2 linked regions of the Cricetulus griseus genome follow. The protein of the gene in region 2 purifies or fractionates together with the protein of the main gene of each other region. This does not show direct contact. Links are inferred from orthologs where the notes say so. Each region holds a gene or a part of one and is shown on either strand. Other genes may lie near its edges. The genes, in order: Ift43 and Tulp3.

What was found.
Region 1: the proteins of Tulp3 (region 2) and Ift43 purify together in Homo sapiens (affinity purification with mass spectrometry; 5 studies listed by BioGRID and IntAct, counting the BioPlex papers as one, with this or other methods). This does not show direct contact. The link is inferred for Cricetulus griseus from reciprocal best matches to the Homo sapiens genes TULP3 and IFT43.

What each region holds. Positions count from the first base shown.
Region 1 is NC_048598.1:117,719,476-117,723,386, forward strand, and holds the start of Ift43 (intraflagellar transport protein 43 homolog), read right to left. Parts: upstream 2,989-3,911; 5' UTR 2,986-2,988; coding exon 2,797-2,985; intron 2,789-2,796; exon of another isoform or gene 2,747-2,788; coding exon of another isoform or gene 2,612-2,746; intron 834-2,611; coding exon 741-833; intron 1-740. UniProt on the Homo sapiens protein: As a component of IFT complex A (IFT-A), a complex required for retrograde ciliary transport and entry into cilia of G protein-coupled receptors (GPCRs), it is involved in ciliogenesis.
Region 2 is NC_048601.1:18,064,316-18,068,208, reverse strand, and holds the start of Tulp3 (tubby-related protein 3), read right to left. Parts: upstream 2,919-3,893; 5' UTR 2,808-2,918; coding exon 2,767-2,807; intron 1-2,766. UniProt on the Homo sapiens protein: Negative regulator of the Shh signaling transduction pathway: recruited to primary cilia via association with the IFT complex A (IFT-A) and is required for recruitment of G protein-coupled receptor GPR161 to cilia, a promoter of PKA-dependent basal repression machinery in Shh signaling.

The sequences.
Region 1 (3,911 bases), on a different chromosome or scaffold from region 2:
TCCAACCTTACAGCACCAGTGTACAGTCTGCATTTTGAAACTTCCCAGTCCCTCACTTCAGGTGGCATTAAAAGCTCCACGAGGCTGGGGATATGGTCAGTAGGTAGAGAGCTTGCCTAGCATGCATGAAGTCCTGGGCCTGGTCCTAGCACCTGCAATAACAGGGCATGGCAGTTCATGCCTGTATTCCCAGCTTTCAGGAGGTAGAGGCAGGAGAATCAGTAATTCAGTGTCCTCCTCAGCTGCATAGTGAGTTCCACACAAGCCTGGCCTACTTGAGACCTTGTCTTTAAAAAATAAAACAAGCCAGGTGGTAGAGGAACATGCCTTTAATCCCAGCACTTGGTAGACAGAGGCAGGTGGATCTCTGTGAGTTTGAAGCCAGCCTGGCCTATAGAGTGAGTTCTAGAACAGCCAGGCCTGTTACGAACACACACACACACACACACACACACACACACACACACACACACACACACACCTGTCTCAAAAAGTCAAAAATCAAATAAAAAGAAATAACAAAATAAAATAAAAACTGTACATTATGAGTTTGAAGAAAAAAAAAAGTCCAGAGTCCAGTAGGTCAATGACCTAGAAAGGAACTCCCAAATCAAGACATGTAGGCAGCTGGCATTCCAACCAGATATAGAGGACCACAACCCTACTATCAAGGGTTCATTTCTTCTTAAACGGCATTTCTCTTCACCTTCTTGTTTCCTCTCTGTCTTTGTAGCACTCACCTCTCCAGTCTGAGTCAATGAAGAATTCTTGTTACTCAAGTAACTCTCAGCCTGTGTTGAATCCTGTTGAGCTCGGCGGCCCATCTTGGCCCCCTGCAAGGAGAGACCAGAGCACAAATGATCCAATGGCACTTGAGGCCCTGTGAGTATGACAGAATGGTAAGCCAGGACTGGAATTTTATGGCATGGCAGAGAGCAGGATTTGGTATTCACAGAGAATTCTCTAAATCTTTATGAGAAAGTACCCAAGACAATGTTCTCTTTGGCAGAACAGGAAACATACAGGTTTTTGATCATGAGATTTGCAAAAGCCAGCTACAGCAAAAGCAAAGTTCCTAACACAGAGATAAAAACACAGCTAGTTTGGGCAGAAGCCTCAAACCACAACTCAGAGCGGATGGTAAAGGCTCCCACCATCCTAGGCAGGACTTGAGTGACAGCTACCAGACAGGCTTTCAGGGAGAATTCCTCAATTTCATGGCAACTGACACCAGAGGAGCCCATCTAGAGAGAACTCTTGCTCTGCTGTTGGGCCTGGGGTGGGGTGGGGGTGGGGGTGGGGCGGGAAGAGGGGCACAGGAATGCTGAGACATCACCTTTGGAAACTAGAGCACTTCAAGGTTCTGAGTCACCTGATGAAGCATTTGCAGGCGTTCCCCAAGCCCTCCAAGTGGGTAGGGGCTCTGTCCCCAACATTCCTCAGGACAAAAATAAAACTCTGCGGCATAATAATGAGTGAAGAGTGTCTATGAATGATCATTTACTTAAAAAAAATAAAACTCAGCATAGCATAGCACTTTCAAGTCTCCTTTACTGTGGCTCTGTTTGAATCTCATCATAGTATGGACAAAGACCAAAATTGACACCATAAAAGAGGAAACTGAGGCCCAAGGAAGTGATTATGTAGCAGAGTCTTCTTGGGGCTTTGAATCCTGGATTTGTCCCATCTCACCCCGCTGAAAACTCAGTGCTAAGTGTTCTAAGAAGGAAAGTTTTTAGGAGTGCTGCATAAAAAAAAAAAAAAAGAAAAAAACAAACAACAAAAAAAACCCCACTAAAGTAGGATCTGGGTGCCAGATTGCATTTATCAATCCTTCAAGTTGGGATGTCAATCTTCCAAGGGTGGTGTGAACAATCTTTCTGATAATACCAGCTCATTCCCTTCTCCGGGATGGTACTGATCCTACAGTGGCTACCTTAAAACAGAGATTAGTGACGGTATCTGTAGATGCTGTTGACAAGCGACTGCTCTAACAATTGTTAAAGTTGGAGATATTTGAAGACGCTATAAATTGGCAACATAGAAAACCACTTTACAACCTGAGATCCCGTACTTTAAGGGCAATCTGTTTACTGTCTTCACCACCACCCCCAAGGCAAAGGTCAGTGACTTTGCGTTCTCTGACTAGAACAAAGTCTGATACATAGTAGGGCTCAACACACATTTGTGAAACGAATGACTAAATCACTACATTGATATCCCAGTTACTAAAAAGGTCCATGTATCAGAAAGACCCGATGGCCTATTGTCCTTAGCTTTAAAAAACAAAAATAAAAAAACCCCTGCTCAACCAATTGGCTCCTGCCCATCTTATCTCCCTCCATTGGGGCCTCTCTAGCACCTTGGAGGGCATCGGATGCTACCAGAGCCCTTCAAAACACCTGAGATTTTACAGGAGAATCTAAGGACTTGCCAGGTGACCCAATCTTTCAGTGGTCTCAACTAACTCTAAAAGCTTTGGAGATCTAGAGGCTTTGACAGTCAGAAAACACTGAATGTAGGTCTTTAATCAAGTTCTATGATCTACTGGCTAGATGCTGGTCATGGCCAGCAGCGAAGGTCAGGCGCTGCGGTAAATACCCAATTTCACCTGCTCAGCCACAGCCGCCTCCATTCCACCAGCAAGGAATCCTGGGCTAGGTGTATTCTGGCCCATCAACGGTTTTGTTGTTGTTTTTGCCCAGTTGTTATCACACACACACACGTAATAAACTGGAGTATTCATTTCCAATCCTGGGAAGGGGAGTTAAGAGAGGAAAGGACAATCCCAGCCACCTCTCTTCCTAGCAGCTTTCGGGAGAACTTCCGGGGACTAGACTCCAGGGCTCGGGCGGGCGTGGCTCGGGGCGCACACCCTCGGTCAAGACGGGGTTCGCACTCCGGCAGCTGAGCCGAGATCTGTCCCGACTCCGGGTTTTTCCGACACTTGTCCCACCCGTTGAACCAGCCCCCAGCCCCCATCATCGCTCCTCACGGAGGTGGCCGAGCTGCGACGTCTCTCCTCTCCCAGGTCCAGTAAATCGTCCATCTCCGCGGCCGCTGATGTCACTTCCTGGAAACAAGACTCTGCGCCGCGTCCCTAACAACGACCCCGCCCTTCCACCTTAAAGAGCCCGCCTCACAGTTTCTGGGTCTTGCATGTCACCTTCCAGTTTAAACCAGGTCTTTTCTAAACCAGCTTTGCTTGGCTTAGGGAAAACAAAACAAATCTCCAGATGCCAAAATCCGCTCCAGATGCTCCAGCTAGGTTAGCCTTTGGGACTGCCTACATATGGTTAAATATGTTTATGAGTGAGAGCAGGCACCACTGTTGATTATTCTGACCCCTCCCATTCGAAATGTAGAAAGGCCTTTAAAATACTGCTCTAGTGAAGGATATAACAACTGTGGAGGGCAGAACACGTAGTATTATTTCCATTTGACAGATGAACACTAAGTAATAAAGTTTACAACGTTTACAAGGACTTGCAAAAATGTGGAGTATGTGATTTCTGCCTTTAAGAAGTTTATTTATGCATGCCTGTAATTCCAGCACTTGGGAGTTAGAGTCAGGAAAATCAGGAGTTCAATGTCATCCTCAGCTACATAGTGAGTTTGGGAGGTGAGACTGGGTTACATGAAACTCTGTGTTTGAAAGCAAAGTTTATTTAGAGGACAGATTAAAATATCCAATACCCGAGCACTAATCACTCTTAAAAGTATAAATATAGTGGAACATGGTGACAGAAGTCATGTCACTGCTACTCAGGTGGATCGTGTACGCCCAGAAGTTTGAGTCCAGCCTTGGCAACACAGTGAGACCCTTCTCCTCCTTCTCCTCCTCCTTCTTCTTCTTCTTAAAAAAAAAAAAGAGCATACAACATTAGGGGTCTTATTTAATCTGAACAACA
Region 2 (3,893 bases):
GTTCCTGAGTGTGGTTTTACAGTCTATCTCCAATTTCCATTGTCAATTTCAGACATAAGGAAAATATCTGAAAAACTGCTTGTTAATAACCTTTTTCCTTTGTTGAAAAGAAATCTGCTCTGTTAGGTAAGACAGTCAAACAGCTACATAATCTAAAGGGAAAAAAATCAGTTACCCACACAACTAAAGGCATTGATACTAGGGGAACCTATATACTGGAGAGATAGCTCAGAGGTTAAGAGCACTGACTGCTCTTCCAGAGGTCCTGAGTTCAATTCCCAGCAACCACAGGATGGCTCACAACCATCCATTATGAGATCTGGTGTGCAGATATACATGGAAGCAGAATGTTGTATACATAATAAATAAATAAAATCTTTAAAAAAAAAAAGAGTATAGGAACTGGAAAGATGGCTCGAGGTGACGGGGCTTGGCCCAAAGATCTGGTGACTAGAGTTCCATGCCCAGACCCAGAACTGACTTCACAAAATTGTCTTCTGACTTCCATATTTATGCTGTAGCCCCCCTACCACAATTCATGAATGATAACTGTTTTTGGTTTTTTTTGGTTTGTTTTTTGTTTTTTTGTTTTTTTTTTTTGAGACAGGGTATCTCTGCAAAGCCCTGGTAGTACTGGAACTCACTATGTAGGCCAGGCTGGCCTGAACTCAGAGAGATTTGCCGGCCTCTGCATCTCAAGTGCAGGGACTAAAGGAGAGAGAGTTAAGCCTGAAGCCCTGGCTTCTATCTTTGACATAGTAGTGCTGCAAACCTGTAATCCTAGCAGCAGGGAGGTGGCTGTAGCAGAACGTTAAGAGTTCGAGCCCAAATTATAAAGACCATCTTGAAAAAGTAACAAAACTCAGTACACACGAACATCCAGGTTTGGTGATCCACACCAATGAGACACTAGGCAGGCTCGGGCAGAAGGGTTTTGATTTTGGGGCTGGCCTGGATTACTGGGTTATCCCAAGTCAGTCTCTCTCTCTCTCTCTCTCTCTCTCTCTCTCTCTCTCTCTCTCTCTCTCTCTCTCTTTCTCTCTCTCAATAAATGATTACCCTAAAACCAGACTTTCACTGCCTTTTACCAACAGTGACAAAAGCAGCATTATCTACCTGGGGCAAGAGAAATAGTGACTCACATGGATGACAACTGAAAATTAATGAGTTGGTTTCTTTGAAAGAAAAAGTTGGGGGGTGAGGTTTTAAAATTACACCTTTAAGGTTCAAGTTCAGGCAATGAAAAAAAAAAAAAAAACTGCCATCTGGTCCTAATTTCAAAGTCAAGTTCTTCTTGTTCCCTAAAGTCATGAATCATGGGAGGCAGAGGCAGACAGATCTATACGAGTTCAAGGTCAGCCTGGTTTAAATAGAGAATTCCAGTCTGACCAAGGCTACATAAGACCCGTCTCCAAACAAAAAATAAAAACAGCAAGAAAAAAGAATAAAACTAAAACCATATCACCATGAAATTTACTTCTCTAAATACATTAAATTAAAACCAAATCCCCCCATTTATTTATTTATTTATTTATTTATTTATTTATTTGGTTTTTTGACACAGGGTTTCTCTGTGTAGCCCTGACTGTCCTGGAACTAACTCTGTAGACCAAGCAGGCCTTGAACTCAGAGAGGTCTGCCTGCCTCTGCCTCCAGTGTGCTGGAACTAAACGTGTGCACCACCACCACCGGGAGATATCAACTGATTTTAATCAGAGACGCTGAATACTAATTTTAATAGCCCGACCTTATACTTGTAAATATATTTTTTTGTTCTAAAAGGGGGGGGATGTAAACACATTTCAGGTAGCAGCTATCATGTGTATAGAATTTACTGATGAAAGGCTAAAAGCGCCCAGCACTGGGAGGCGGAGGTGGAGGATCAGAAGTTCAAAGTCATCCTCATTAGCAAGTCTGAGGCGAGCCTAGCTGGCCTGAGATCGACGTTGGGGCGGCGGCGGAGGGGGGTGGGGAGGTTCTATTCCAGCGTCTTCGTAACTTTTTAAAAGATGGTTTCGAGTCAGTTAAATACTAGCTTAAACATCAGACTAAATCCTTACACACCAAGTCTTTATTTGCAGTGGTGATGGGATGGCAAACGAAGAATGTAGTTGAAATGTTTGATTTCAATCCTCAGACAACTCCAAAGTTTTGAACCAATGATTTCACAGGGCCCCCCATTAACTTTTCGTTAGCCCAGCTGACGACAAACGAACATTCTGAGGCGGCACCCCATTTGTTTCCCCAGGATCACCCTGTGGACCAGTCAGAGAGAGGGGGCGCAAACAAGAGGCAAGGCACAGTCTGAACTAAGACAGGCCGTCCTGAATAAGAGAGCTCTGGAACTCAAGGGAAGAGAGAAGAAGAAAAGAACAGTTTTGCATTTTCAGCCCTCGGACTCCGTTCCAGAATTCCGCAATGACTGCCAAAAGCAACGGCCTTGGAACCAATTAACCATCGCCCGCGACCTTCCGCTTCGACTCCCAGGAGGGACCTCGTTCCACCTCGGTTTTGACTCTGCTCCAGGGAGGAACGGTGAAGGGAGAACGCGTTGCAAGGGAGGGACTCGGAGACCCTGGGGGAGCAGGGCGAGCTTGGTCCGGGCAAACTCGGAGGACAAACTCCGAGGGAGCGGCACGAGAGAGTGCTGGCGGCGCGGGATGCACAGCGCCCGCCCTGCTTGGGGACCCGGTCCTGCCCCCACCCCACCCCCGCCCGGCCTGGAGCCCCACCCGCCCCTCCGCTACCCTCGCCCCCGCCCCTGACCTGTCCGCGCGGGGTCCCGGAGCGCAGCGCGCCGCCTCCATACCCGCCCGGCCGGTGGCATCAGCGTCCAGACCCCCGAGTCGCCGCGGCCGGGCTGGAGAGGATGGAGGAGGTCGGGCCCCGCCCCTGGCAACCACACCCCGCACTGTCGCCGACGCCCATTGGTCCACTGCCCGCCGCTCCCCTCTCACTGGCTAAGGGCGCCAGCCGCGATGCTGGAGGGTTTCCAGGGGGCGGGAGGCACCGGGAGGCGAAGGCGCGTGCGCGGGAGCGGGGTGCGCCCCTCCACCCCCACCCCCCGGGTTGGATCCCAGTTGGCCGTCGAGGGTGTCTCCTGCTGCTTCATTCCTCGGCTGCCTCCTTCAGAGCGACTCCCAGGACCCCACTGTCGCAATGAGAACACCCAGGGTGCTGCAAGGATTGTGGTCCAGGGATTTGCGAACTTCTGCCGCAAGGCAGGGATGCCCAAGGCCTTCAGACTGCAACACCAACCCTCACCCAAAACCCGACTGAGGGACCCCAACTTGGGGACCGACTTATATCCTTATCCCATAAGGGAGGTTGCTAAGCCTGACCTCTCTGCAGTAACTCATGCCTCCAGCATCAGTTCCTTTCTGGTTCTGGTCTCTATAGGACTTGCTGACTAGAGCTACTGCACGTAGACTTAAACTGTAAAGCCAAAGTTGCCACATTGATGCCGAATTCAAATTTTTACTTTTTAAAAAATTGATGTATTTATTTAGAGACAAGATCTCACACTACATAGTCTGGCTGGCCTGGAACTCAGATCTGACTGCCTCTGCCCCCTAGTGCTGGAATTAAAGGCAAGTGTCTCCATGTTCCAGGCTATTAGTTCATGTGTATGGATGTTATGTCTACATGTATGTCTGCGTACCATATGCATCCTGGTGCCCAAGGCTCTCACATAGAACCTGGGCATCCCACTCATAACCGCTGAGCGACCCCTCAGAAATGAACTTTTGAAAACTAGGAAATATGGTACATACGTAGACTAGGAGGGCAGAACACTGCACTCACTTAGCCCCCTCCCTGGATTGCTTCACTTTTTGTGCATCAAATTCTCACCCATATAAAGGGCAGCATAAGCTCTGCAGGCGCTGGATGCT